Linked DNA regions of Ovis aries. The protein of the gene in region 1 interacts with the protein of each later gene in a pairwise test. Links are inferred from orthologs where the notes say so. Each region holds a gene or a part of one and is shown in the gene's direction. Other genes may lie near its edges.

Region 1 (10,695 bases):
CAAAAGAATTCAAACTGCATAATATCATTTTTGTAAAAGTTAAATTACCAAAGCAACGTAAAACTAGTCTTAGTGAAAGGGCATGAAATTTATTAATGTACAAATAAATACAAAAATTTAGGAATGGGGTTGCCTCTGTGGGGTGAGGGAAGAAGAGGTAAAGGAATGGCAGAGGAAGCTTCAGTCTTAATCAATCATATTGTCCTTCTTAAAAGAGATGCACGATTCATACATCAGTGTTCACTGTAATTTGTATATCATAAATATGCAATTAATGTTTAAAATAAAAAGTAATTATCCAAATGCATTAAATGTAACAATAACCCTTCTCTTTCACTAGAATTAGACTGTTAATCTGAGAGATTAGTTTCACAGTAAGGCCATCTAACAAATGAATTTGAAGAAGAATCTAATGACTCCCACTTCCTGCTCAGTGCTTCTCCCTGTTTTTCAAAAACTAACAGCCCTCCATACCCATATGGTTCCCCACTAATGTTGATCCTGTCATACCAAGCTCCAGGAACTCTGAGCTCTTCAGATCTACATCCCCATACATAAAAATTTAACATTTTTAAAATTCCAATAAGAACCAATATCTAATTAAGTTAGATATTAGATAAGATATTAAACATTAAGATATTAAGATACATAAGTGGTTTTTGTTTAAATCAGGAATTGCCAAGCAACTTCTCTAAAACCAGGCCTCTAAAGAAAGTTATTAGAAAGATAGTTGACACCTGACAGTTAATATCACCATATGTCTTTTATTGGTCCTGCGTTTCCTAGACACAGATTATCATCTCAAAAATTTTAGTAGTGAGTCAAAGGAGTTGATTAACAGTTTATGAAATTTTATGGATTTAATATTTAGCCATTGATAGATGTAATCTGAATAGCTAATCTATTAAAACTGCTTTGATCTAATTTTGGAGTTGTTAATGTTTTGGAATTGGATCTCTGCTTGAGCAACAGCCTAAGGATATTCAGCATTCATCTTTCTCCAGTGTTCAGACAGTCATCTGCATTTCCAGAGGGTTGATGACAGGGCAACTTGGAGTTTTAGGACAAGCATCCGCATTTGCATTTCAATAGTTCCATAATTCTATGGAACTATTGAAATCTCCTCAGTATGCTTCATTGTTTAAATAGTGAAGGTGGCCAAAATTTGTTCAAGATTCATAAATCTTAGGAAAAAGTTGAATCATGGTATTCAAGGCTCATTCTACAGAGAACACTTCCTTCTTATTTTTTTTTTAATGCTAAAATAGTGTTTGTTAAAACCCATAGGCGTTGCATCACACCTGCTCGTATTTAAAATGATTTATCCATTTGAACCTCTAGAGTCTGAAATCAAGGTTCTATGATATGACAAAGAGGAAAAGAGTACATATGTCTTGAAATATATTACAGAGGTATCATCAATTTTTAGTTTGGGGTTTCAAAAATATCTTTCTCCTCATTGTATGCATGTTAAATTGCTTCAGTCATGTCCTACTCTTTGATAACCTATGCACCGTATCCCACCTGGCTTCTCGGTCCATGGGGATTCTCTAGGCAAGAATACTGGAGTGGTTTGCTATTTCCTTCTTCAGCGGATCTTTCTGACCCAGAGATGGAACAAGAGCCTCTTATGTCTCCTGCATTGGCAAGTGGGTTCTTAACCACTAGTGCCACCTGGGAAGCCCTTCTCCTCATTCAGTTCAGTTCAGTTGCTCAGTCGTGTCCGACTCTTTGTGACCCCATGAATCCCAGCACACCAGGCCTCTCTGTCCATCACCAACATCCGGAGTTCACTCAGACTCATGGCCATTGAGTCCGTGATGCCATCCAGCCATCTCATCCTCTGTCGTCCCCCTCTCTTCCTGCCCCCAATCCCTCCCAGCATCAGAGTCTTTTCCAATGAGTTAACTCTTCGCATCAGGTGGCCAAAGTACTGGAGTTTCAGTTTTGGCATCATTCCTTGCAAAGAAATCCCAGGGCTGATCTCCTTCAGAATGGACTGGTTGGATCTCTTTGCAGTCCAAGGGACTCTCAAGAGTCTTCTCCAACACCACAGTTCAAAGGCATCAATTCTTCAGCGCTCAGCGTTCTTCACAGTCCAACTCTCACATCCATACATGACCACTGGAAAAACCATAGCCTTGACTAGACGGACATTAGTCGGCAGAGTAATGTCTCTGCTTTTGAATATGCTGTCTAGGTTGGTCATAACTTTTCTTTCAAGGAGTAAGCGTCTTTTAATTTCATGGCTGCAATCACCATCTGCAGTTATTAGAAGGGGACAATTTTGTTTTTATTTAAGAAAACAGTTCCACTTAACACATGGTATATAAGTTCTTTGGTTACCTATTTGCAATGATCTTAAGTTTCCTCATAATTGGCTGCGATTTTACATACAGAATTTTTTTGTAAAATATTTTGGTAAAAGGGAGTTAAATCCTGGAGTTAAAATAAGAAATTCTGAGTTCAGGTGCAGGGCAATTGGGTACATTTCTGAGATGAGCCTTGTGCCCTTCCAATAAGTGTGGGAAAATATTGTCCACTAAACAGTTTTAGGAAATGATTGAATAATGGATATATGTGAAAGTTATGTGCAAACTGCATCCAAAAGAACTGCAAACCTATAACAGTATTGATACAGCTGTATAATTGTTGTGTGAGGTTATTTATTTATTTTTAGATTTTCAATTGTAACCTAAAAATTTTCATATTACTGTCCAGCTGAAACACTGAGATGTGGCATATGTTTATAAGAATAAAACTGTGGGTTGAAAAAGCAGAGCCCTAGAGAACTCAATTCAAAAATTTGCCTTTTTGAGGGGGTTTAGGATTGGGAACTCATGTACACCTGTGGCGGATTCATGTCAATGTATGGCAAAACCAATACAGTATTGCAAAGTAAAATAAAGTAAAAATAAAAATAAAAATAAAAATTTGTCCTTAATTTTTTTTTTTGTTTGTTTCCTTGCCCTTTCAGAACCCTTTCTTGGTGGTGTTTTATAACTCACTTTTAAAATGACCTGGCTTTTAAAAATATGCTTTTATTCCTTTTTCCTTTTACATGCAAATAATATGATACACTGGAAAGTTATCCTTAAAAGTCACCCCTCTTTCATGTCCCAGGTAAAGTGGAAAATAATCATTCTTGGTACTCTGCTGATCAGGTGTCAATCTCCCAAGTCTCTTCCTAGACAACCCTTAGCAGCCGGAAAAGATGGCTTTTGACCTTGAAGATTTTAGCATTGCAAATTCAAGAATATGAGCAAATGCATTTTCTTTTTAGTAAACTGTGAATTTGCATCCACTGGAGTGGCATCTGAACACCATGACGTCTACTGTATCAGCGATGTAGAGAGATGAAGGGACATTCTCACTTATCATGAGGAAACGAAAAGCTTATAGCCCCTGTATTCCAAGAAAAGGAAAAAAAAAATGATTTCAGGATGATAAATCTTATTTTAAAGAGAGAATTGACCTGTTGGGTTCAGAGAATAAAAGAGAAGTCTAAATATAGCACCAGCCTCGTCAATAGGGGTTTCTTAACATATTGCTCCTTTGGGGAGTTTAAAGACGTGTGAGACTTTATATGTCTGTGTGTGCCTTTACGTGAGAGAGGAGATGAATGTGCCTGAGTGTGAGAATGCGTGTTCCTGGCCTGAGGAGAGGGGGTGGAAGCGTGAAGGGTGGTTGGAAAACCCCTTCTAATTTTGTGAACACCCAGGGCAGCCACCCGGGCCCCAGAAGGAGAAGGGAACTCGAGAGCAGGCACAAAGGTCGTTGCCTTGACTGATGTGAAGAGACTGAACCGCTAGCAGAGACTTTTCTCCTTGGCAGCCAACAACCTGCAGCCGGAAGGCGGGCGGGGGAGGAAACCCCGAGGAGGCGCTCCCGGGCGCCTCTTTGCTGAGATAGCAGGAGCGGCAGCCTGCGGAGCCACCGGCGCAGCGTCACCGAGCCGGTGCGGATGCGGGGCGCTCGGGAAGGCGCAGAGGCCCGGAGGCGCTGGTGCGGCGGAGTCGCCCGCGCTGCAGGACGCCGCGCCGGGGCCGCCGGAGCGCCACGGGCCGGTTGAGCTGCAGGAAGAGCCGGCGGCCGCGCGCTGCCCGGAGGCGCCGTGCCTCGAGCACCTGCTTGAAGCCCAGCGGGCGATTGAAAGACCCCGGAGAGCTCGACCAGTCGTCCCGTTCTTTACAAAAAACAGCCAGAGCTGGGAGAAGGCAACCATTTCAGTACTCCACGGGACTGGGAATTTGCTTCTCACAATTTGGGGGAGCCCGAGTAGAGGTCAGAGGGGCAGGCGAAGATCCCGAAAAGGAGCCGAGGACTGTGAAAGTGGTCACCCCCTTCCCTATTGCTGGAAAATCTCCTTGACAGGTTTTAGCACTTTGAGGCTGCTGCAGCTGGTGTCGTCGGAAAAGGGGGTGGGAAAAATAAGAGAGGGGGCGGGGAGATCAGGGAGACAGCCAAGAGCCAGGAGCAGCGCCTCCTCGACTGCCAATCCAGGCACCTGTGCACCAAGCCACTGCACCGAGGAGGACCCCACTCCGGGAGAACCCCGGGCTTGAAGCCACGGACAGTCAGCTCCTGCGCAGCGAGTTCTCACCGGAGGGACCTGCACCCGCCCACTCCACCGTCGCCTGCAGCCGCGGGAGCGCACGGCCCCTCCGAACCGCCCGCTGCTTCCTGGGTCCCCGGGGATCCTCGCCCAGGAGAGGCGCGGCAGCGGGTACGGGGTTTTACGGAGTTGGGTGCAAGATTCGCCTCTTTGGCTCGTCTCTTCTCCTCCCAGGATTTATTGTCTGTGGAGCCTTCTGGGGTGGGGAGGGAGCTGCGCCTCCGCCACCGCCGCGGCCGCCTCTGCTGCTGCGGTCGCTAGCGCGGCGCGCAAGGCAGGCGGAAGCTGGGGAGTGGATGCGCTCCTGCCTCCCCCGCCAGCGCTTCGGGCTTCCCCTCGGCCGCTTCCCGCGGAAACCTCTTCAGCTGTCCACCTGAAGGGCACCAGCATCATGGTCTAACGTGGCAGCTGCCTGGAATCCCCGCTTTCTCCTTCTTTTCTCCTCCTTCACCCCTCCTCTCCTCCGAGGTCCCTCGTGCCCACTCTACTGCGGACCCCGGACACTTTAAGGAATAACCCTCGGCAGCTGCACGATTCACTTTCTCCGGAACCTCATGGGCAGTTTCTCCCGCCGGCGATGTGAGTAGGATAATATTGCTCCGGGGCCAAGGGGGTCGCGGGGGCCTCGCCGCTTGTGGCCTCAGCGACAGTGAGCGCCCTAGGTGAGGGACCCAGGTGGCCGACGGAACGGGGGTGGGGGTTAGGAGAACCCGAGCCTTCAGCGCTCCCTGGGAGCTGCTCGCCCGCTGGCCCGCGGAGGTGGTGAGGATGTGGTAGATTGCGGGGCATTTAGAATCGCGTGCTTGCTGTTGCGGGTGCTGGGGAGTGCCGAGTGGCCTGGGCTGGCGGGTGAGCTTAAAGGGTTACATATTGCGAAAAGGAAGGCAAAGAGCGATTTTGGGTGCTGGTGCTGAGACCGACGATTGAGGTTGAGGTTGATCACAGTTCTTTATTATCTGAATATCTCCAGTCAGCTTTTTCCGGAGGTGTCTGAAGGATGAAGCGCTCCTTTGATATTGGTTCTCTGTCTCTCTCTTTCTCTCACACACACACTTGTGGCAGGTCACGTTTGTCCCTTTATCTTAAAAGCTATAGTATTACTGTGTGATGCCTATTTGTTTGAAAAATATAATTAGAAGACCTTTATGCCATTGGGAACTGAAGGGATAGGGTGGGGTTTTGGGGAGGGGATGAAGGGGAAGAAAGAGTATAAAAGACTGGAGGACCAAAAGAAGTAGGGGAGCGATGGAGCGAAGCCCTTCTTCCCGGGAGTCAGGGAAAGCGATGTCTCCTTCCCCTAAGCTCAACAACTCCAGCCCACACATCTCCTTTGTGTTGCTCGGAGAAGCTGGTGAAGCAGCGCTATTCCCAATCCCAGCGCTGGGCCCCCTTCAGCATCTTGCATCCTTCTTTCAGTCATTAAGGATGCAGGACTAGTTTTGGGTCCTACGTGGAAAGAGGGAGGAAAGCACATTAGCATCAGGGTAATAATAGCACCTTAGCTCACGGACAATTAAATTGGGTGCCAAAGGTTCTCCTGTCTTTACAGTTTGCAGAGTCAAGAATGGGAATAGGGGATGGGACTTTTACAGAATGTCTTTTTAAATAGTATGACTTCATGATAATGGAGATAGCTGCAAAATTGCCTTATTATACTACTTCTTGGCCATCAGGTCTGCATAAAGGACCCGCCTCCGCCCTCTCCCTTACTGTCTCCTCCCCATCAAGTCACAAAGCGAGAGGGCTGGGCGAGAGGGCGCAGCGCCAGGCAGAGAAGGGAAGGGGTCACTTTCACAACTCCCAGGAATCGGCTTCAAAAAGGAACCATCTGCGACTCCCACGACTCCCACGTTCCTTTCGAACTTCTTCAAAAGAAATTAGAAAACGGGGGAGGGCAGGGTGCGCTCAGTGAGACACGATCTTCCACCTGCTCTTTTCCATTACTTTCCCAATACACTTTCAACACAGAATTCACCTGCAGTGGTAACTGGGTCACCACGTAAATGTGTACCTGTGTACGTTGAAATGTGGTTCTCTTGGTAGATAAAAAGCAATTCATAAGTGAGCATATTTTAACGTGGGTAAAATTTCTAAGCACCATAGAGATTTTATAGCGTGGGCGAGAAGAGTGCATTCCAGCGAAAGCAGGACACGTGATCTCCAGCGGGAGAGATACAGTATTAGGAACTCGGTTTTCTTTGTTCCTGACTGAGCCTATGAGATGCTCAGCATCCCTATTGCTTAAACCCTCCTGTAAAACGGAAAAATAATAAAGTTGATGAGGGAGAGCCTAGAATGTGGGGAAGCACAAGTAGATACCTGCGAAGGGATTGAACCTTCTGCTTCGCCACCACCTCTCCTATTTTCCTGCCCACCTTCCACCCACCCAGCTCCTCGCCGCCGCTAGCCCCCTATTTAAAAGTGAGACCTTCCTTCCGGGAGACGTAGCGGAAAAGTTCCCCAGGCCCTGTACACGTGGGTTCTCTAGCGCCTCAGAACCTGCTGCGTTTCTCAACAGATTCTGCCACCTCCCCAGTCCAAGTGTCACGCCTCCATCCAGGCGTCTTGAGCTGACTTCACAGACTCTTAAGAGAACCTCCAGGGGATTTTGGGCAAAAGACGGTAGAGCAGAGTCTGTTCCTTGCTTCTTGGAAACCGTTGAGAAAGTAGGAATGTAGGAATGATTTTATTTTTCCTTAAAAATAAGGCATAAGACCAAAGTATGTCGAGAGTGATGTTTAGTGATGTTTGCATTTGGACGCCCAGGAAGTGTATCATCAGGCCTGTGGAATGTCCTGAGGTGTGATTAGTTATTAATTTAATGGAATTAGAATTTGTTCTAGACCCACAATTAGTTCTCCGACTTGGAGATTTCTTATTTCATTTTTCACTCCATGTTTTATAAGCGATCTTACTGGGTCGAAGTTTTTTAAAATGTGGGTTATTTCTGTACTATGTTGCATTGCATCATACTAATATGTTGGTAAGGAAAGCAGAGTCAATTTCCATGGCATATTATGAAGTGAAAGTTCTTTATGCATTTTTAAAAAGACTTGACTGTCCAAGAAAAGATGTGTACTTCCATGGCAACCCTTACATTCCCCATCACGTGTGCCTGCACATTTGCAGCTTCAGAATTAGAAACCACTTCCTAAAGAAATAAACCTGTTTCTGTTACAGGAGCCATGTTTTATTCTGAATTTTAGGGCTGCTTTAGGCTGGCATTAAAATTTTCTTAACTAAAATCCCATTTCACTTTTGTTTATAAGCTTTAAATTCTGCTTCCTTTATAAAATTCAAAACGTAGCTTGAAGTGTTTTGCGTGTCTGTATTTTGGTGTGTTTTTTATTTTTTAAAAATTGCAAAGATGGAAATTAGTATCACTGAATTTTTAGCGATTATAAAGTCATTAAATGACAGTATTATCCACATAGTGTTAATTCTCAGAGCATTTCTTAGATCTCTCTCATTTGCAGTTTGTAGTCCATGGTAATACTTGATATAAAAACCTAGTTTTTTTTTAAATGACTTAAAATAGTCACCTTTTTAAAACACTTGAAAATTTGAAGATATGTTGACGTATCAAAATTACACCTATTTTTACTATAATTTTATCTTTTGATGACTTTTGCTTCAATATGAGTGGATCCCTCATTCGATGATATTATCATTTCATTTTATACCCAAATTAACAGAGTAGACAAAGAGTAATCAACTACTACTAAATTACCATCTGAGTTATTTCTGGATCCTTGTTCCCTTTTTTTCCTTTACATAAATTATTTCATATTTTTTGGAAAATTTCTCATTTAGAGAACATGTGCCATTTGTTGAGTATAATAATTAATAAAAGACAAAAAGACATTACTTGTTTGGGTCTCTCCAGTAACAATGGCTGCTTTGTAGAGTATCATCCACATTTCTTTTTGACTGGGTCTAGTCAGTCACGTGAATTTGCAAGATGACTTTGGGGGAAACATTAATTCATATCTATGACAAAAAACAGACCTTCAGTTTGTGCCAAGCCAGCTGACCAGTAAGTGATTCATATCTCCAAGGAAGAACATACTGAAGATGATTCTGGGATCTTCCTAGAACCTTGACGTTTTTCTCTTTGAAGCTCTTTACTACATCAGTATTCAATAGAGGGTTTTTAATGCCTCAGGATTAGGGAATTTTAGTATCAAGCAGCAGTTTGACCATATAGTGTTGCTATTAAATTATACTCTGAGGGACTACAAAATCAGAAAAGAGATTCCTAGATGATAGGTTTTGTACATATGTTTAAAATATTGATTTGTGAATTGTCAATGAAAACTCAGATTTAAAAGTGGTACCATAAGTCAGCAATATTTGGAAAATGATGGCCATAAATCAGTAATATTTTCCCTTTACAAAGTTTTTAACCATGTTTTGTGAATCAGGCTTTAATCATTAGAAATATTCATGTTTTTATAGAAAATACTCTAATGAATTATCCTGAGATAGTGAAAGAAAATTAAGAAAACCAAATGTATTATACTTCCAAAATTAACATGTGATTTGGTAATACAAACAAGTCTCCTTTAATGCTGAAAATAGAAGTAGTGATAATTCCTAATTTATAATTCTAATACATAGCAAATAATAAGACAGATGGTACCTTTTAGAGGAGTGCAACATAAACTTTTTGGTACAAGTCAGGTTTTCCATAGTAGTGTGTGTGTGTATACGTGGTTATATGTAGTGATGGAATATGCTTTTAAGGTATGCTATTTAAATAAGAAATATATTTCATTCCTATTTTGGAATTAATTGATATGCTTAAAATTCACGAGCTTTTGCGCCCAAGAGCCAACCCTGATCGTCTGGCTTCTCTTAACATACTGCATAATTACAGTAACAGCTACCAGTTCCTAAGTCAGGTGCTTATTTCCAGATAATCTTTAAAGAAGCAATATTATCACCATTTGAAAAATTAGAATGTTTAGATTCAAAGACAGAAGTGATAAGTTCATGTCACAAAGCTATTAAATAGAAAGTGATGAAGATTTAAATTCAGATTTGTCTCCTGTACCTTTTCCTCCATACCATGTCTTCTCCCTCATAGGCGAAAAGTGGTGCTTGTTAAATAACTGAAATCTGTAGGTCATTGAATTATTTCCTAATGAATAAAGAAAACAATATTTTGAAACAGCTTTTCAAAGTTATCAACATATTTGGCAATAATGTACCACATTACTTTTGTGGTCATCTTTTAATATTGGTATAGGAAATGCTGCTGCTTGTCTTCCTGGCATAATTAACTCATGACAGAAACATTTAATAAACTCGTAGAACCTGTCATATAAAAGCTCATTAAGGAAGTTTTCAATAAAGCAATTTTGGGTCAATAGCTGTCATATCTACTTTGAAACAGTGATGATATATTTGATATATAAATCCCTAGAGAGGTATCATGTATGCTATTTAAATTATTAACCATAACAGAAAAATTATCATTTGTCATTCAATGACACATGAAAAACTATTAAATAAATTTAATAACCCAAAGATTTCCTACATATACTCCCTTTCATTATATGGTTTACTGCTTGATAAATTACTTAAAAATCTCTATACAATAATATTATTTTACTTTAATAAACATGGAAGCAATAGTATTTATCAGAGATGAAGTATTAAAATTTATATTAGCATTGGCATGATCTGTTTAAATATTTTAATACTAGAATAGATACTTAACATTGTTTAAAGACTTCACTTTCCTCTTTCTTAGTGAGGCAGTTTCTTCAGTTACATCAGTATATTTTTGCTGTACATCAAGTTCAGTACTTTGAGAACATCTTTAACCTTAGGTAATAGTGATACCGGGGCCAAGGTGATAGAATAACAAATTTATTAAGAACATGGGAATTTCAGGATACGTGTGTGTGTGTGTGTGTGTGTGTATGTGCAGAGAGAGAGAATTAAATTTTGTGCTCTTCAAGAAGTAAGAAGAAATGAGAAGCTATAGGTTTCAATTATACAATACAGATGAGGTAGGTGACCTGAAAAGAAAAATACTGATAGTGTAAGTACAATCATTGTGAGATTTTCAC
Region 2 (9,453 bases), on another chromosome or scaffold:
TTCTCCCCCTTTCCCCCCGGCCCATGGTGCGAGGCTGGGAGCCGCCGCCCGGGCTGGACTGCGGTGAGTGATCCCCAGCCCTTTCGACTTCCCCTTGCAGTCCCTGTACGATCTCCGACCTCCGGAGCCCCATCTCCGCGCTGGAGGGAAGAGGAGAATTCTAGGTTCGAAGTGGTCCGGTTCTCTCTCCTTTCTCCTCAGGACTTTTCGGTTCCCTGTTTTAACTGGAGGAGGGTGAGTGGGTGTATAGGAGGAGGGGAAGGCCGGGTTGGGACGCCCTTGGCGAGGGGAGGGTTGAGATTTGCCTGCTCCCTGGGGCTCATTGCCCCAAGTGCAGCAACTTTTTGTTCTCTGACCCAGTTTGGAGCCTTCTAGACTGCCTGCGAAATGGAGGATAGGAGAAACGTTTCCTTCCCAGGCCTCCCCTCCTCCCCTCCATGACTGCCTCCTGGCGACTTCAACACACGTACAGAAACCTGGCCTTATTCCTGGGGAGCATGGCCTTTGGGAATGAAAGGTTTGAGAGAAACTGCCCCTTCTGACCCCTACCCAGCCATACTCAGAAAACCAACCAGAAAAGTGAAAACCTGAGTCCTCAAAGGTTCCTGGTGTTGCCTCCTAATCAGAGACTTCTAAACTGAAAGAAGACTCAAGCTGAGACCTATTTGGTAATGTGGACCCAGATGATATATTTTATATGAACCCTCTTCTCACCATACATTTGAAGGGCTTTTTATGCTGAGGATAGGTAGGTGGCAGTAACTGAAAGTAAGCCAGTGAAAGTAGGGAATTTTTAAAATGATGCATACATATCCTAAGCATTGTCATTAAAAGTACTTTCATCTCACCAATTTCTTGGGTAAGTGTCCCAGCGTTTTCTTTGTGTTGCTGATTGGCAGTCCCAATTGTCTTTCTAATATCAACTACATAAGCAAATCTCTAATCTGGCTGCACCCTGAGAACTTTAAAATAAACTACTTTCATCTGCCCCAATCCAGGCTAAGTAAATCAGAACGAGGTGGATAGCGTGGGTTAAGTTTCCCCGGGGAATTTTTCTAATATGCAGTCAGACTGGAACCACTGCATCATCATCTGTGATTTCCAGGTTTGGTTTCTTTAAAGTGGAGACTGAATTTAAACACTTTTGAAGCAATATGAATGCAGAATACTTTTGAGATTTTTAAGTCTCCTGCCCCTCCAGTCTTTTACAGTTTTCTTGCCTTCTCCCAACTCAACAATTTTTTTTTAATGTGCATTTCTTTGTATTATGTCTTTCCAAAGCATTTGACTTTTTTTTTTCAGAACCAATTCTTAATGCACTGATTTTCATAGGTTTATAGGATGTTTAATTATATAGAGAAAAACAAGGGGCATAAGCAGATTTGGAATCACACATAACTGGCCTCAGCACATAGGGCAGCTGAAGGAAGTAGATGACTTTGCCATGCTAGAGACTAGGCTACCAGCCTCTAGTGTCCAGTGCACTGTGGGTATTGATTATGTAATCCAGTGGGGATCAGTTAAACCAAGCTCCTAAACCAACTGAACATCTTTCGCTTCTGTCCAGCTAATAGCACTAGTACCTAGTCCCTTCTAAACTAATTTACATTCTCTTTCAGCCTTCCAACCACTTGTTCCATTCATTCATAAACTGTTTTCTTAAAGCAATTACGACCATGCCTTTACTAAGTTGGGAGGACATAGGACAGAGTTTCTAACGGGCTTCTGGACAATCAGTAAATCCCCTGAGATAATAATTTATAATCTGTAAGTTTCAATGTTTGGGGCGGGATGCGAGGTAAGTCGTAACTTTCTGAGAACCTTTAACTTCTATTGTCAAAGAGAGTCATGATCCAAAAAGTGAGAAGCACATGAACTGAGTATCACTAAATGTCCTTTAAGGCCCTGAAAACTCACGAAAACACATCTCACTCAGGAACATTCTTCAGTTCTCTGAATAAAGACTTAGATAACTTAGCAGGCTCATATCTGGTCTTCACTTGAACTGTCACCTGTTTTAACCATAAGCCTAGGCTCAAGATTTTTGTTTTGGGCCACACCATGCCACATGTGGGATCTTAAGTCTCCTGACCAGGGGATCACACTCATGCGTCTTGCAGTGAAAGTGTGGAGTCCCACCCAGTGGACCACCAGGAAATTCCCAACCTAGGCTCAGGTTCTGAAGATCTCTTTTTCCTAACCTTGTGTGAACACCTACACTAGAAGTTTAAGGCAGCCCATTAATACTTTTCTGCCTTTTGTCCAGGGATATGGAAAGCCCAAAGGGAAATAAGGCTTTGACTTATTTCAGTACAGGCCTTGACTCTGTACTTTTTATTGGTGACTTAAGTAGCAGTAGGACATATCTGGCATGGTAACAGATTTAGTAAATTCAGAATTGATAGTACCACCATCACTGACACCTCTGCCCAGAGGAGTCCTTATTTCTCCAGCTTTGATTTCTTTCTTTTTCTACTTTCTCCAAATGAGGTACAAGGACACAAGATGCTATAGTGCCTTCACTGTGCTTTTGATTACTGTAGGATCTACCCTCTTTGTTATAGTTCTCATGAACTGGTTCTAGTTTCCTCCTATAGCAAAGCCAGATTCTTCCAGGGAGGTACCAGCTCTACTGCTGTGTCCTAATTTTAAAGCACCATTCTGTATCAAAGTCTTTCACAACTTGTGTTTTGTGTTACTGAAGAAATGTGGATGTATGCAGTACACCAAATATGACCTTTGCAGTACTGTTACACTGAACTATCAAGCCATGAGAATCTTAAGGATAGCAGACCACACGAATGAAAGCAACCTGTTTCCTTGTCAGCTGGTACCTGCACCTGCCTTATTCCCTGTCTAGCAGTCTTCACCTCACACTGGACTGCTTTATTCCTTGTGCTACCTTTTCCTCACGTCTAAACTGTCGCCACGACCTTAAAAAAATAGGGCACGAATAAGGTTGAGTGGGTGTCGAGCGTTGGATCATCAAGTATTCTCCAGCTTAGATGTAGTGGTGTTCCTGGTGGGCCACAACTTCCAAATGGTGGTTTTAAGTACCTACCCATGCAGGCACTTCCTCACAGCCACTCAGCTGTGTCTTGAGATGAACCTGTTGGGTAGCAGCAATCAAAATTCACCCGGCAGCAATCAAAAAGGATTTATATCTAAATTATAGATTCTCTAAAGCAGTCATTTTGATACTTTTTTAAAAAGCAGCAAAATCTTTTCTGGAATTATATCCAACTCCCCAAATATAAAAAGTACAAAATCAGATACCCTGGTTTCCCCCATTAGAATTAGGACTCTGCAATAACAGATTGGATACAGTAATTTAAAATATTCCATCTTTGCCTCACTTCCCCTGTTGCCTAGGAGGAGCATTACTTTTCAGAATCATCCCATGATGCTGAAGCAATGATAAAAACTCTAATTTATTGAGCCTTTAGTATAGGCATAATGTCAGTTGCATTTTTTTAGTCATAACCTTGCAGGTAGATGCTGTTATCACCTTTTATTCTGATGGGAAACTAAGGCTTCAGCAAGCACTCTCGGGAGTGGTGAAGCTGTGATTCATCTCAGATTTGTCTCACCCTAGACCTCTACCTCTAACAGCTCTAGGCCCCGCCTATACAACACCTAGCACACAGTAGGTGCTCTGTAAAAACATATGTAACTTTACATACGCTCAACATTATCTTCAGTTTTTACACATGAGGAAACTGAGGCGCCTGTAAGTTCAGACAGAACTGGGATTCAAACTTCCTATGTAATGCTGGCCTTAATCACATTCATATCCACTATGCCATGCTGCCTCCACTTACCCTCTGAAGGTTCTCAAACTGTATTGCATTCAAGGTCTGCATGGCCTTCAGTTTGTTAAGATTTTCTTGTTAAAAGGGAATGGTGACATGCATTAGAATGCTGCCAAATTTTTCTGTTCATCATATAAAATTTCCGATATTACACTGCTCTATCTGTAACTTTTACATAGGCATGCTGTCCTCTCCGTAATGTGTTACAGGGACTATTTGTAAACTCAGATGGGAGTCCTTGAAAAGTAAAGGGTGACAGATAATGTTAGTCTCTAATGCCCACACAGGGAACATTTAACAGGGAATTGAGTTAAAACTCCATCACCAGGAAGTCCCTGGTGGCCCAGTGGTTAGTACTCAGCACTTCCAATGCAGGGGCATGGGCTCAATCCCTGGTTGAGGAACTAAGATCCCCACAAGCCACGTGGCAAAAAAAAAAAAAAGTCAAACTGGGGCCCAGAATTATTCTGGGAAATAGCTTGGGCAGGTTTCCAGGAATAAAGCACAGTCAGAGGCTTTCTCTGCAGTCCCCACACCCATGTTGAGCCTGGGAGCCCTGGTGCCACTGGGTAGCTTGCAGGACCTGGTTACAGTTTATAATGAGCCTGCCCACCTGGTTCCAAGAAGAAAGCTGGACTGAAGAGATAAGAGCTGCAGGCCTCCCGCCCTGTGTGGAGGCGGCTGTTAAGGTCTGAGGGAGCTCTCTAGGCTTCCTGGAGAGAGACAGCAGTTGGAAGAGACAAAGGCTGGGAAAAAGGGGAATAACCTTTGTTCTGCGGAAGTCTTGGGGAAGGAAACATTCACCTCCCTCTACCCTCTCCGGATCAAAACCAAGGGGAACTCCATTCATCCCAGATCATTGACCCATCTCATCCTAATGAGACTTAGAAAAAAATTAAACTCAGTCACCTTCCCGCAACACTCCACCACCAAGAAAAGAAGAAAAGAAAAGGGAGCTGGGTAGAGGGACAGTGCTGTTCTACCTTCTGTACCTTCTAGATTCTCACACTTTGTATTCCTAATCTTCCACATTTTAGAGATAATCTAGAGATAACTCAAGAAATAGTCTGTTAGGAGCTAAAGTGTTCTGAGATTACATACATCTCTTTGGGTTTTCTAGGTGAATCTTCATTCTGTCACTCTTGTTGCATGAACTTAGAGGGTGAAGTGAATTTGAAGGGGAAAGATAAAGGCTCTAAGGATGTTTTCCTTTTTTTTAACCTCAGAAGTCAGATAATCATCTTGGTGACAACACTCACTATTTTTGTGACTTGGAATAATTTAACTTCTCTGGACTTTGGTTTTTTCATACCTATAGGGGGAATTATAGCAGGCTCTGATGATTTATAAGGTTATGAAAATTAAATGAGAAATTGTTAAACACTTTAAAAGCAATCCAGTACAGTACACATAGAAAATTGTTTTTGGAGCCCAACGTTTTGTTTGGTAGAAATTGAGCAATGGCCTGAAAGGGGAACCCCAGTGATCGAGCTGTTTCTCTTCTTATTACAGCTATCTCTGAAGGGCACAAATCAGAAAGCACCATGCCTCCTAATAAAGAGGCCAGCAGCCTTAATAGCTCCCCTGCGGGCCTCATCTGCCTCCCTCCAATCTCTGAGGAACTACAGCTTGTGTGGACCCAAGCAGCCCAGACCAGTGAGCTGGACAGCAATGAACACTTGCTCCAAACCTTCAGCTACTTCCCCTACCCCAGTTTAGCAGACATTGCCCTTCTTTGCCTGCGCTATGGGCTGCAGATGGAGAAAGTCAAGACTTGGTTCATGGCCCAGCGCCTTCGCTGTGGCATTAGCTGGTCATCTGAAGAAATTGAAGAGACTCGAGCCCGAGTAGTCTACCATCGGGACCAACTCCATTTCAAATCCCTTCTCTCTTTTACTCATCATGCAGGGCGGCCCCCAGAGGAAGTGCCTCCTTCTCCTGTGCCACCTCCGGAACAAGTTGGTCTTGGAATAGTGCCCCTGACTCTTAGCGAGCCCACCCAGATGAAAGGATTGAAGGTAGAGCCTGAGGAGCCACTGAATCACCAGAAAGCAAAGGAGACCCTGATGGTACCTGGCAGTGGAGCATTCCCCCATCAATCGCAATTTTGGCAGGATCATCAATGCAGTGGCCTCTCCAAGGAGCAGGCAGGCAGGTGTCCCGACCAGTCACACAGCCTAGGTACTGCCTCCTGGAACCATGCCACAGCTGTCCACCAGCCCCATGCTCGGGATAAGCCCGAATCCATCTCATTACTTGCCAGTAGTTGTAAGAAGGAGTCAGCATCTAATGTGACTCCTCCTTCCTCTACCTCTTCTTCCTCTTTCCAGGGACTGGCTAATGGAGCTCCTGCCACCTCTAAGTCCCTCCAGCCACTGGGCTGTGCCCCACAACCACTGTCACCCAATGAACAGGCACTACCCCCACAGCTGGAGCCAGCTTGGCCCCAGGGGCTAAGGCATAACTCAGCATCAGGTAGGGTTGGCCCTGCAGAGTATCTTTCCCCAGACATGCAACGCCAGCGAAAGACCAAGCGCAAAACCAAAGAGCAGTTGGCTATCCTCAAATCGTTTTTTCTACAGTGCCAATGGGCACGGCGTGAGGATTACCATAAATTAGAGCAGATCACTGGTTTACCTCGGCCTGAGATTATTCAGTGGTTTGGTGACACACGCTATGCCTTGAAGCATGGGCAACTAAAATGGTTTCGGGACAATGCAGTACCTGGTGCCCCTAGCTTCCAGGATCCAGCAATTCCTACACCACCACCTTCAACCCGCTCCTTGAATGAATGGGCTGAGACACCACCTCTGCCAAATCCCCCGCCCCCACCGGATATACGACCCTTGGAGAGGTACTGGGCAACCCACCAACAGCTCCGGGAAAGTGATATCCCTCAACTGAGTCAGGCATCAAGGCTTAGCACCCAGCAGGTACTGGATTGGTTTGACTCTCGATTACCTGAGCCAGCTGAAGTGGTGGTCTGTCTAGATGAAGAGGAGGAAGAGGAAGAGGAGGAACTGCCAGAAGATGAAGAGGAGGAGGAGGAGGACGATGACGACGATGATGATGATGTGATCATCCAGGACTGAGTGGGAGGCTGGGGGAGGGGAGGTCTGTTACTAAAAGACAAACCAACTTAGTTAACTGTTTAAACAAAGAAACCACATTATTTTCTTTTTAACTTACCTTGTGGCAAAGAACTGAAAAACTTTGTGTTCTTGAGGGTGGGGGACAGGGATATAGTAAGGGTAGACCAGGGAGGATGACCATGGAGTACAAAACGAGGTGGGGATCAGACGGGCAGAAATCTAGGCCTCCAATCTCACTGAGGGGCTTGCTATGGGTCTGGGAAAAGGCTCTTGCTCTTTTCATATCCCTGTTCTTTCACCTTACTATTCTACAGAGAGGCTAGGCTTTGGCCCACGGCCATGGAGTTCTGTAAAGGAGGAGGAAAGTTTCTAATACGACCCCAGTCCCAGCATTTTCCCCAAATATAAGGCTGCCTTGCACCTCATTTCTCTCTGAACACAAGTTCATGCATTAATGCAGCTAAGAATCTCAGTTATGTCCCAGTCAATCGCAAATACTTCCTCTCCTCATACCAGCTTGATTTTCTGTGTTTTCCTGCTGCTTTTTGAATCTCACAGGGAGCAGAATGTTTTCATTTCTGATACTGGGACCACTATGCCTTGTACCTTTCCAAAAATCCCCATTCTGTTCACTGTTTGTCTCAGGGTAAATCTTCCCCCCGGAGCTTGTGAAAAAGTTTAATAATTGGGTGGAGAATAATTTAGACTGGATATTTATTGGAGGGAATTAGGGGAGATGTCCTTTTAAAAAAGTAGAATTATAGATTACCGAGGAGTAAAGGAGAGGGAATGGTGTCTGCTGTTCGGGAGGACAGTCCAGATAGATTCCAGGTTTGGTTTTACAAACCTGACACTCCCACCTGCCTAGTTTGACAGAAACTGATTTTTTAATCTTTTTGGTGTTGGTCTGTGTCCACAAAAGAGACTTTACCCCCTGTTTATAATATCTGTCTTGAGGACAGAAGTCCTTATGTTTTAGAGTGGTTTTCATCAGTTGGGGTCAGATATAAAGATATCAGTGGGTTAACCATCTAGAAATAAAAGAGTGGAAGCCCCAAATTGCTAGACTAATAATAAAAAGGCCAAAAATAAAATTGTTTCTCTCTCCACTTTGCCATTTCTCTGGTTTAAAGATTAATGGAACCAAATTCATCTACTTTCTGATTTAGTATACTTTTTATTTTCAAAGCAGCAGGATATACTGAGGTAAAGTAAATGAACAAAACTTGAAATAGATCAGTACCTATTAATAGGCAGATTGCTTTCCACACCTGCTATAGCGTAGGTTCTCTCTCAGAAGAGGGGGAGTCTAGAAATGCCTTTAAAAATAAGCTCAGTTTCAGAAAACGTAATAGGATCCTATTCAGCTACCACGTCATTCCTAAGACCTAATTTATCTCTAGCGGATGCTCTCTTCAGTTTTCCAGTATTTTCACTTAAGGTATACCTGCCTATGGTCCACCCATTTAATTCCTCATTTCTACCCCTTACTACCCAAAGAAGAATAAATGTTTGATCTCAGTGGTAATGTTCTTTGCTTATCCCACCATTTGAGAGTTTACGACATCAACAGAGTTACAGTAGCAATAAAAGGGCATCCTCTTTGTTTCATTATCTGTATACTTTAGTAGGGCTTCAAGCCTGTGTTTCCAACTGTTACGAAACAGAAAGGAAAATCAACATATTTAACAGTATCTAGGTACAGAGGAAACAATAGGGAAATAGAAAAATTATAATAGGACAAGGAACAGAGTTACTGCTTGTTAACTGACAATGGGAGAATATATACAAAGCTAAAAAGTGAAATCCATAAATAAAACATGGTTAATAAGTATATCACCCCACACCACCCCCCAATGATGCCAAGAATTCTTTTTATAACCTTTGTTTCAAGTTGCAGGAAACAAGGGAGCTATCTGTATCCTGTGGGAGAGATAGTAAACATCTTCCTGAAGGACTGACCTGATCACTTTCATAGGAAGTAATACAGCGGTATAGGGTCAAGATTGAAAGAGAGAAAGTACACAATGAAACGAGCGTAGGCAGGGGTACATTTTCCAAGGGCATCACACCTAAGTGAGTATGAGATGCCTCTGTCCATACTTCAGCAGTATGCATAGGTGAGACCTTGAAGGTGGTCTATCCAGGAGTGTTCCATGCTTCTCTCCCTCTGGCTAATCCCATCTGCCTCTGTTGGTAGAGATTCTGCAGCACAGGACAGGAAGGCAGTTAAGGGCGTTTATAATCAAAAAGGGCAAGTAAGGCCCTTTTCAGTCATTATATGAAGTTTAGCATGACAGTAAACCATTGCTGTTGCTTCCCCATAGTTTTTTCCATTGCAAGAAAACTTGTAAGATTTGATACAACCAGTGCGACAAAGGCTATGTTGCTACTCATGAAACTGGAATGTTTCAGTTGGTTTATGGTGATAAGGCAGAATATTTCTAAAATCAAACCAGGGAAACCTGGAACATGACTACCATACCCAGAGGCCATTACCAGGGAGGGAGAATTATGTCTCTGGGTAAGTGGTACTTTCTTCAATAACT
Region 3 (10,627 bases), on another chromosome or scaffold:
GTAAAGCAGCGGACGTGGCGTGTTAGTCTCTCAGCCGTGTCTGACTCTTTGCAACTTCATGGACTGTAGCCAGCCCATGGAATTCTCCAGGCAAGAAACTGGAGGGGATTGCCATATCCTACTCCAAAACAGTGGAGCCACTGTGGAAACCAGTTTGGCAGTTCCTTAAAAAGCAAAACAGTTACTACACGATGCTGCGATTTCACTCCTTGGTATACACCCAGATTTTTTTAAAAGGGGCTCAGACACTTGTGCCCCAATAATTATTTCAGCATTATTCACAACAGCCAAATGACCCAAGTGTCCATCAACCTATGCAAGGTTAAAACAACACATGGAAGGATAAACTGTGGTATGTGCATGAAGTAGAATATTATTCAGCAGCAAAAAGGAGTGAAGTTCTGATGCATGTCATGATACGGATGAGCCTTGAAAACATTGTGCTCAGTGAAGAAACCCAGAGCAAAAGGCCGCCTGTTGCATGATCCCAATTGTATGAAACATCGAGAACAGGCAAGTTCATGGAAAGCAGAAAGATTATCGGTACAGAGCCTGGGTGGAGTGGGGAGTTTGGAGTTTCTGCTTAAGGATTAGTGAGTTTCTGTTTGGGATGATGACAAATTTTCAGAAGTAAAAATAGTGACATTGCATGGCATTCTGAATGTAATTAATGCCACTGAATATAATTAATACCGTTGTGTACTTACAATGGTTGAAACGACAGATCTTTTGTTACAGAGATTTTACCACCATAAAAAAAAAAAAAAAAAAAAAGATTAACTAGAGGGACTTCCCTGGTGATCAGGAGATAGGATTCCACATTCCCAATGCAGGGGCCCGGGGTTTGATCCCTGGTGGGAGAATTAGATCCCATACGCCCAGCCGAGACCCAGTGCGGCCAGGCAGAGAGGTGGATAAATATATTTACAAACACAACCTGAGTTCTCAGGAAGTTTGTTTCCCAAAAGAAGGTGGATGATGTTCGTAGAGGAAAGAAAAGCCGTTAAATAAAACCAAAAGGAACTACTTCTCTAGGAAAACGTTCAAGCTACTTCGATTAGTCTTGAGGTAACCCTCAATATTAATTTTCATCTGAAACACAAAATAAGGGGCAGCTGACTCTTGAGAGTCCTTTGGACTGCAAGGAGATCCAACCAGTCCATTTTGAAGGAGATCAACCCTGGGATTTCTTTGGAAGGAATGATGCTAAAGCTGAAACTCCAGTACTTTGGCCACCTCATGAGAAGAGTTGACTCACTGGAAAAGACTCTGATGCTGGGAGGGATTGGGGGCAGGAGGAGAAGGGGACGACCCAGGATGAGATGGCTGGATGGCATCACCGACTCGATGCACGTGAGTCTGAGTGAACTCCGGGAGTTGGTGATGGACAGGGAGGCCTGGCGTGCTGCGATTCATGGGGTCGCAAAGAGTCGGACACGACTGAGCGACTGAACTGAACTGAACTGGACTGAACTGAACTGAACTGAACTGAGGCAAAGAAGTATGCAGCTGGCTTAACTGCCTCCCCCCTCCCCCCCGACACCCGCCGGAAGCCTAAGCCTCTTTCTGCTCTGCAAGGGGTGAAGTGAACACTCCACTTACGACCCTTAGAGGTCATGCTTGCTGTCGATGCTGTATCTGCATATCTCGTTTTAATAGCACCGCCTCCTCCGTAGGCTCACAGTAGCAATGTCCTGTGTGCAGTAAACGCCAGATTAGCAGGGAATCACATTTCTCTTCGCCAGACGGGCCCCTATCCAATCCACCGCTGGCGCTTTCACCATCCTGAAGACCCAGGGGAGCGCCGGCCAGCTGACCTTGTCCAGAGGGCGACGTCCCCTCCGCACCTGCGATTCCCGCGCGCGGCCGCCAGATGGTGCTGCCTCTTCGCGGACTAGGATCAAAGCGCGGCTGGACCCAGACGCTCCCCCGACCTGCGAGTTTTCAGAGGCGGGGTCGCATCTTGATCTCCCTTCCGGCCCAGCACTTCCACTCCACACCAGGGTCTGGACGGCTCCCAGCCTGGTTGCCTGCGGCTCCACAGTCACCGGGAGGCCCGGCTGTTTTCCCTATTGGTCCTCACAGCACCCTGGTGGCTCAGTGGTAAAGAATCTGCCTGTCAAGTGGGAGATGCAGGTTCCATCTCTGGGTTGGGAAGATCCCCTGGAGGAGGAAATGGCAAACCAATCCAGTATTCTTGCCTGGGAAATCCCAGAGAAGGCTGGCAGGTTATACAGTCCATGAGGTCGCAAGAGTTGAACATGACTTTGCATAAACAACCACAACCTCATGACACCAAAGATGTGAACAACCCCCTCCCAAGGGACAACAGGGTCAGTCACCCCCCCCTTGGAAGGTTACCCCGGAGTCCCTGCATCCGCCTTTCTTAGTTGCAATCATCTCATGTGACTCAAAGAGGATTTGGGGACATCATCTCAGTCTGACGAGAAAGAGGGAAGAAAACTAAGCCAGATCTCGTCTTTGAGGACATTCTGGTACATTTGGAAATGCCTCCACAGCTTTTCCCTCAGGCAAAGGTCATTCTAAAATGAAAACGGCCCCCAGCACCTCCCAGGCTCACAAGATAAGGTGGCCTGTCTGCTGCTGGCATGAGGGCATGTCACGCATAGAGAGACCACGTCCTCACTATGAACCCAAGAAAGACGGCAGCCTCGGACAGACCGCCCAGACGCTGCAGACGCTGCAGCTGTTTGCATCAGGAATGTTATGCTCGAAGGGGAACCAGCCTTCGCTCTCTCAGCCCATCCTGAAAGTGAAAGAGTTAGTCACTCAGTGGTGTCCAACTCTTTGCAACCCCATGGACCCTCTGTCCATGGAATTCTCCAGGTAAGTGTACTGGAGTGAGTTGCCATGAACATCTCCAGAGCATCTTCCCGACGCAGGGATCAGACCTGGGTCTCCTGCATTGCAAGCAGGCTCTTTACCGTCTGAGCCACCAGGAGAGCCCCAAGGGCCATCCCGGGACACCAGAAATCAAGGCAGAGTTTGGGAGGGTCCTCTAGTGAGTCCCAATGGCAGGGGGTCTACAAATGAGGTGGTGCAGGCCAGAAAGTGCTAGAGAGAGAGAAAAGAGACAATTGGCCCAAAGTGCCCACCAGAAGCCCTCCCGCACACGTCTGCAGGCTCCAGTTCGGTGTCTCTCTGCCTTCCGGGGATCTCCTTGGCCTTGAACCTGCCTGTGCGCCCTTTACCCCCAGCCTCCCCAATAAGAACGTCAGGCCAGACCACAGAACAGCGCCACCGCCTGAACGGTCACACACGGCGCATTCCCATCAGCACAAGGCCCCTTAGAATCACACCTGCCCACCAGAAACCCGGCAACCACCAACCTGCTCTCCGTTTCTAGAATCTCATCTCGAGAATGATACATAAACGTGATCGTTCAGGGGGGACCCTCAGGGATTGGCGATTTTCCTGCAGCGTATTTCTCTGCAAATTTGCCCCGGCTGCTGAGGCCCCGATCGTTCACCCTTTTTACGGCTGAGTGCTCTGACCCTGAGTGGGCCTAGGGGCAGAGGCGGCGGGAGGGGCGGACACGGCGCACCCCCTTCCCAGAACTGCCATCCCTTCAGCTGCCTCGGAGCGGAGCCGGGTCCGGCTCCCAGGGGCGAGGACAGGGTAGGGGCGGGGCGAAGGGCGTGTGGGCGGGGCTTATGCCGGGGCGGCGCGAGGAGAGGTCCGGACAGGTCGGGGGCGGGGCTGCGCTCCGGACAGAGGCGGGGGGCGTGGCCTCGGCGCTCGTGGGCGGGGCATGGGCGGGGCCCCGCCGGCAGGGCCCCGCGTCCAGGCCTGCGGAGCGCGCCCGCATTGTCCGCTCGCGACGCCTGTGAGTGCGTAGTCCGCGCGGCCGGATCGTGGCGTGGACGCTGGACGTTCTCCCAGAGGGAAGTCTCGTCCTGCCGGTCGTACTCGGGCGTTTTGGCCGAGGTGAGTGTCCGCGCTCTCCGGGGGCCGCTTCCCGGGGCCAGGGTCTCCGCGGGCTTCCACCCCCGCGTGCCCGAGCTTCCCCCTGCACTTGCGAGGCCTGGGGCGCGGGTGTGCGCAGGCCCGTCGCTGCCCCCAGCCGCTGCCCTCGGCCCTGGACTCGGCCCGCGCTGACGCCACGCGCGGACGGCAAGGGGCCGCCTGGGGTCCGCGAGCAGGCGGCTCGGAGGCCTGGCCTGGGCTCTCGGGGTTCCGGCTCGGCCTTTGCCCCGGGTGCCAGGACCCGAAACTCAGCTTCTCCAACCTTAGTTCCCTGAGAATCTCAGCCAGAAAATCCAAGAAGTGGGACATGTATGTGGTGTGTGCTTCCTGCGCCGCTCTTTACGGTTCCAGGGGGGATGGAGGGAGCCCGGGAGAGGAGCGGTCGAGGAGGCTGGAACGAAATAGAGTGCATAAAGGGTGTGAGTCCGTTTGGTGTGGGGTGATGTATGTAGTTTAACAGCGACACGCTTCTGTTTTCCTGTCTGCCTGATAAGGGCGCCCTCTTCACGGAAGGAGACGGCTCTCCCTGCTGTGGCGCAAGGTCAGTAGGGAAGTGCTGGACAAGTGGCCTGCTTCTTGGGCCTCAGTTTCTCATTCTGTACAACTAGGAGAATTGGACCCCACGAGGAGTCAGAACTCCGAGGCCTCCAGCGGCCTGGTAGGTGATGTAACTAGGTACACTGGACCAGGCAGAGAGATAAGGGGATGCCTCCCCTGCTGTCAGCACTGAAATGAAAGCTTTTCTTCCTAAACTAGACTGTCTTTGGGCCCTGACCCCGGGGACCTCAGGAGAAGGTGCTCCCTGAGTCTGCAGCCCATCACTCTCCGGACATGCTCCTGGGGCTTCTGCCAGGCTCAGGATAAAGTCTTCACTCGTGCACTTCTGACCCGCCCAGCCCTTGGACGGAATCTCCCACCACCCAGCTCTGTTGTAACCGCATGTCCCGTGTAGGCTATCTGAGCTCCCCAGGCCAGTCCCAACGCTGCCTCACGCTTGCTGTTCCCCTGCCTCAGCCTGCCCACGGCTGCACATCGAGCTGCCCACCATGTCTCTCCACCTCCCTCAGCATTTGTTTCCTCTTCTAGGTCACTGGCATCACTGAGAGTGACCGTGCCTGAGAGCTCAGGGCCCCCTGCACCCAGGACTAACAAAACAGCACACCCTCCTCTCGGCAGGATTCAGAGAGAAGAATACCCATCTTCCTGGGACATGGCAGGTGACTGTTAGCTATGGGGGAGTTAAACTTTGTTAAATGAAAAATTTATTAGAAATTGAATAATTTGTTATTAAAACTCCAGACAACACTCGTGTGTAAAAGTTGTTTATAATGTGGACTGCTACCTGGAATTATCTTGTTTTGTATTTTCTTGTTTTATTGTTCATTTCAGCCCCACCAAAATAGAATGCTTATCTTGTCTTTGCTTTGCCTCCAGCCTCTGGGATGACCCCCTGGGACATAATAGCTGCTCAATCAATAGATATTGAGTGACTGAGCCCCGGGAGTGACCATGGTTAGAAATGCCGCATGACGCATGCATCCCATTGTGACATCTTTTTGTTCAGCACCATAGCATGAAAACCCTTGCATTTCATAACATAAAAATTCACGTTATTTTACACATATGTTGTACGTTGAAAGTGAAATCGTTCAGTCATGTCCGACTCTTTGCAATCCCATGGACACCAGGCTCCTCCATCCAAGGGATTTTGTAGGCAAGAGTATTGGAGTGGGTTGCCTTTTCCTTCTCCAGGGAACTTCCCGACCCAGGGATCGAACCCAGGTCTCCTGAATTGTAGTCAGACACTTTACCATCTGAGCCACCAGGGAACTGTGGCACTGCTGACATCTGGGGCCAGAGAGTGCTCTGCCGGGGGGTCCTGACCCGAGCTGTGTTCCGCAGCAGCGCCTCCCGCCAGATGCCACAAGCAAGACATGTCTCCAGATGTTGTGAAACACTCCCTGGGAGGTAACACTCCCTGGTTGAGAACCATCACTGTGGATATTTCATTTGTATCCTGTTTCCTATTAAACCCCCAAGTTCCTTTATAACAAATGAGTCTGAGACATTAAAACTGTTAATCATTAATTTCACTCGTGCATTTCAACCTTTACACTCTGCTGAGTGCCCCAAAGCTCTTTGCTTCAAACTAACATTTATATTTTCTCCTTAAGGGCCTAAACAGAATAATATGGATCAAGAGTTTAAATATTTTAGTCTTAAGAGGTTCCCACAGAAAATTTAAACACATCCCTACAGCTGCCTTCTAGAAGGAACTGGCACTCGACCTTGGAGAATGTCCTGAAGGAGGACAGTGCGGCTCCAGCTGCTGCTGCTGCTGAGTCGCCTCAGTCGTGTCCGACCCTGTGCGACCCCATAGACGGGAAGCCCCCAGGCTCCGCCGTCCCTGGGATTGTCCAGGCAAGAACACTGGAGTGGGCTGCCATTTCCTTCCCCACTGCATGAAAGGAAGTCGCTCAGTCGTGTCTGACTCTTTGTGACCCCGTGGGCTGCAGCCTCCTATGCTCTTCTGTCCATGGGATTTTCCAGGCAAGAGTACTGGAGTGGGGTGCCATTGCCTTCTCCGTGCAGCTTCAGAGACTGTTGGTATGAATGACAACCGCCAGGCAGTGGGTGGAGCCTCTGTTGTTAGGCTTTCCACCGAAGCCGGGCTTCATGCAGGCCCTGCCTCCCCATGGGACTCAGGATCTGATTTTTTTTTTTTTTTTTTTTAATATATCTATGTGTCAGTTTTCAGTGGAGAGGAAGGAAGCAGAGCTGTGTGTCAGCGACTGACCTGCCAACAAGGGGTTAGCAGGAAAGATGAGTCACAGTAGTTTCTTATTCTGAGCTTAGGCCACATGGCTGAAACATCTCGTAGTGGATAACCAGAAGAGATTGGGCTTTAAAAGAATGCAGTCGTGTTATTCCTGGGGAACTGTAACTTGACTCCTATGTTGGTAAACTCGAGCAGTGGTGAACTGATACAGCCAGGTTCTGAAAATGCTCCTTGGTTTACCGCCGTCTCCCGCAAAAAGCGTCGGTCTTTCTCACTTAGCTTCAGCCGTTGTGTGTGTCCTCCTATCAGCTGGGTCCTTGTGGAGCTTTGACAGAGGAAGTATTCTTCAAGAGAAATGGTTTCTTGTCTGGATTTAGGTAAGAAAGTGCTCATCGTCTACGCACACCAAGAGCCCAGGTCTTTGAACGGGTCCCTGAAGGACGTGGCGGTGGCTGAGCTGAGCCAGCAGGGCTGCACCGTCACCGTTTCTGACCTCTATGCCATGAACTTTGAGCCCAGGGCCACAGGGAAGGATATCACTGGTGAGTCATAAATGCTCTGGGTTGTTTTTTTTAAACTTTCTTGGGGACTCTCCACACTGTTCCGCACGGTGGCTTCACCGTACACTGGCCGCACGAGGGTCCGCTTTCCTGCACGTCCTCGGCAGCACTGGGTGTCTTGTCTTGCTGACAGCCATTCTGACCGGCAAGAGGTGGTGTCTCGCCATGATTTTGCTTTGTGTCCCTGATAATCAGTGCTGTTGAGCGTCTTTTCACACGCCTGTTGGCCATCTGTGTTTTCCTCAGAAAGATACCTGTTCAAATCCTCTGCCCATTTTTAAATCAGATTGTTAGGAGTATTTTTTGTCTTCTTGGAATTTTTTTTTTTTTTTTAGTTAAAAAAAAAGTTTGTAAACAAAACTCATCATTGGAGGTGGTGTACAATTCTCATGTCGAAAAGGTCCGCAGCGCACGGCTTTTCCCGCAGCCCCAGCCAGCCAGCTTCCCGGCTCCCACAGGAACCGGGGTCTCCCACTGCCTCTGCATCTTTCTGGGGCCAGTTTGTGCCGTCTCTGGGGGCACCTAAAGCAGTTAACAGAATAACGGCTTTTCTCTCCGCTTTTTAAAAATGGGAGCACGTGCTCCTGTATGCCGCCTTGCGTGGTGCTTTCCCTCTTTCTGCCGTTGTCTGGAGGTACCGAGGCTTCAGTAGTGCCCGCTCGTGCAGTTCCGGCTGCTTCTCACTTTTGCTGTGATAACAGGACCGCAGCAAAAGTGGCGGCCGCATGCTTTCCCACGCGTGCGAGTGTATCTAGAATGGAGTTGCTGGGCAGAGGGAACGTGTGTTTTGAATTTTCATCGACAATATTGAGCTGCTTTCCGTGAGTGCTGTACCAGTTCACTCTCCAACCCACAGTGTTCGCAAGTGCTCCTTTCCTTGTTTTACGGAGTTTTTGATAACTGCCAATTGACAGGTGGGAAACGGCCTCTGGTGTAGAGTTTGAAGCATGAATTGTAAACGCATTTTTACCCAGTGTATTTGTAGTTTCGGCTTTGCGGTGCTGGCTTCTGTTTACTTTTGCTTAGTTGCTAATTTAGACCTTGCGTTTTGTGCCACACAAACTCTATGCTTATTTTTGGAAGGTGCTATAGTGTTTGGCAGGTTCCCCTTTTTACAAGTAAGCACGTTCTCTACTCAGAGTTTATTTCAGTGTGTGATGTGAGGTGTGGATCCAGGTTTTCCCAAGTGCGCGCTCAGCTCTCATCCCCACTTATTACATTATCTAGCTGTCTGCCTTAGAAAGCCGCCTTTGTCGAGCCCTGAATCCCACGCGTCTCAGAGTCTCCTGCACTTTGTCTTCCGCTGTTGTCTTCCTGGCCCTGACTCAGGACCGCATGGCTCTCGCTATTTCGGCGCATCGTGTACCATCTCCGAGAGTCAGGGCACCTTCATTTGCCTTATTGTTTTTACAGCTACTTGGACTTTCCCATAAAGATTTTTTGAATTAGCTTCCCAGATTGTGGACTGAAAAAATAAAAAGCACAGCACGCCAGCTGTGCTGTGCTGAGTCGCTCAGTCGTGTCCAACTCTCTGTGACCCCAGGGACTGTAGCCCACCAGGCTCCTCTGTCCATGGCCTTCGCCAGGCAAGAAGACTGGAGTGGGTTGCCATGCCCTCCTCCAGGGGGTGCTCCCAACCCAAGGATCAAATCCAGGCCTCCCGCACTGTGGGCAGATTCTTTATTGGCTGAACCACCAGGAAAGACAGTTGTGATTAAGTTTTGTTCGGGATAAAGTGAGGACTGTGGCCTGGGAGACAGCCTCTCAGCTATCTCTGGAACTGCTCCAGAGAGCTGGAGGGAAGGTCAGGATGGGTGGGATTCAGGTGAGGGGGGCATGTGGTCATCAGGCCCACATTTTGGCGGAAGGCTGCTGCTAGCCGTGAGGAGCAGGTGTCACCATTAGTGACTTCAGTGCTTTAGAGACATGAGGACTTGCAAGAATTGGGCTCATAAAATCTTCTGAAAATACCTATCTGAAGGCATGTTTTTCTACCTTTTCCTGGAGCATAGAGCGTCTCATTCCTGATCTCCACCCTGAACTCCTTTCCGGGGGTGCTGAAGATCAGTGGCTACAGCAGCTTGTGACTTAATCCCTGTAGAGCAGATGGCAAGCTCCAGCCTTTAGTTGGCAAGATTCTGAAGGTAACGGATTGTTTACAGCGGAACTTCTCAGTGCCACTCCCTGCTGTTCCAGCAACAGGCGTGGTTCCTCATGTGTTCACGTTCTTCTACGATCCTCCAGGTGTATTTACGAGTTTCCTTCATGCAGATCTTGCGTAAATCTTTCTTACTGGGTTTTGTTCTCTGCGTGAAGAGGACTGGTCTGTGCATGTCTGTGTGCACGCGTGCGTGCGGCCACTACGGCTTTCTCACTGTTCGTAGTTTTAAGCCAATTCTCTGGGTCTTTCCTGATACACAGTCAAACCATCTGCAACTAATAATTTCACCTGTGCCTTTCCAGTAATTCCCAGTAAATTAAATACCTTTAGGTCCCTCCTGTTTGCAATTGTGTTAACAAGACCCCAGATTTAGCATTTAGTACTGGTGGTAATGGTTGTATCCTTGCCTCTCCTTGTCTTTCTCTTTTAATAAACCAAACAGCTCTTTTCACTGAAAAGCAACAGAGCAGGGTCTGGGGAGGCAGAGAGTACTGTGTGATGGGGCCACTGGCGTTCAGGGAATCAGGTGAGACACGGGCTCTGCGGAAACAGCATTTCAAGTGTGGTGAACAGTGGGCAGAGGGTGAACTCTTAAGAGCCCCTTCACACACCCTCCTTGGCCTGCGGCCCCAGGGTCAAGCAGGCAGAGCTCTTCGGTGTGGCTCATGGTAGGTCCTCCTCCAGATGTTAACAAAGCACGCGTTCCTGTAGAGCTTGGGAGCCCTGTAGATACAGGGACGAATGGGGATGCGCTCTGTTCTCTGGAGCTTTCAGGAGTCTTGTTAGCGACTGTTGCGTCGTGGCGCATGTTATAACTTACCAGTTCCCGTGTTGACTCAGCTGTCTCCATCTTCTGTCTCAGTCTCTGAGTCGGTGTGTCTGCATGACTGTGGATTTCCTGTCTTACTAAGAAAGTGCGTCCACACCCACACAGATAAAAATATTCCCATTTCCCCGATATTTGCAGACCTTTGCTTTGCTCTGTTCTTTTATATTTTACCTGGAGTACATGTGCCCCCCCCACACACACACTATCTGTTCACCACTCTCGGGAGCAGAGTCCGCCGTGGGCGCCACACCTGGGGGCGGCAGCCTGCCTGAGACACAGGCTCTCCTCCTCGGGCTCTCTGCTCAGCACAC

Evidence for each region.
Region 2: the proteins of LRRC7 (region 1) and HOMEZ interact in a two-hybrid assay, tested with the Homo sapiens proteins (2 studies listed by BioGRID). The two-hybrid records come from large-scale screens. The link is inferred for Ovis aries from reciprocal best matches to the Homo sapiens genes LRRC7 and HOMEZ.
Region 3: the proteins of LRRC7 (region 1) and NQO2 interact in a two-hybrid assay, tested with the Homo sapiens proteins (2 studies listed by BioGRID). The two-hybrid records come from large-scale screens. The link is inferred for Ovis aries from reciprocal best matches to the Homo sapiens genes LRRC7 and NQO2.

The regions. Positions count from the first base shown.
Region 1 is NC_056054.1:45,328,132-45,338,826, forward strand, and holds the start of LRRC7 (leucine-rich repeat-containing protein 7), read left to right. Parts: upstream 1-3,987; 5' UTR 3,988-5,192; coding exon 5,193-5,194; intron 5,195-10,695.
Region 2 is NC_056060.1:21,429,365-21,438,817, forward strand, and holds the end of HOMEZ (homeobox and leucine zipper protein Homez), read left to right. Parts: 5' UTR 1-23; coding exon 24-63; exon of another isoform or gene 64-234; intron 235-360; exon of another isoform or gene 361-668; intron 669-5,324; coding exon 5,325-6,904; 3' UTR 6,905-8,013; downstream 8,014-9,453. Other genes in the region: RNF212B (RING finger protein 212B), read right to left, coding at 9,044-9,109. UniProt on the Homo sapiens protein: May function as a transcriptional regulator.
Region 3 is NC_056073.1:49,743,803-49,754,429, reverse strand, and holds the start of NQO2 (ribosyldihydronicotinamide dehydrogenase [quinone]), read left to right. Parts: upstream 1-3,789; 5' UTR 3,790-3,948; intron 3,949-4,254; 5' UTR 4,255-4,294; coding exon 4,295-4,303; intron 4,304-4,481; coding exon 4,482-4,528; intron 4,529-4,595; exon of another isoform or gene 4,596-4,645; intron 4,646-4,725; exon of another isoform or gene 4,726-4,782; intron 4,783-4,788; exon of another isoform or gene 4,789-4,935; intron 4,936-5,073; coding exon 5,074-5,204; intron 5,205-5,421; exon of another isoform or gene 5,422-5,499; intron 5,500-7,143; coding exon 7,144-7,308; intron 7,309-10,627. UniProt on the Homo sapiens protein: The enzyme apparently serves as a quinone reductase in connection with conjugation reactions of hydroquinones involved in detoxification pathways as well as in biosynthetic processes such as the vitamin K-dependent gamma-carboxylation of glutamate residues in prothrombin synthesis.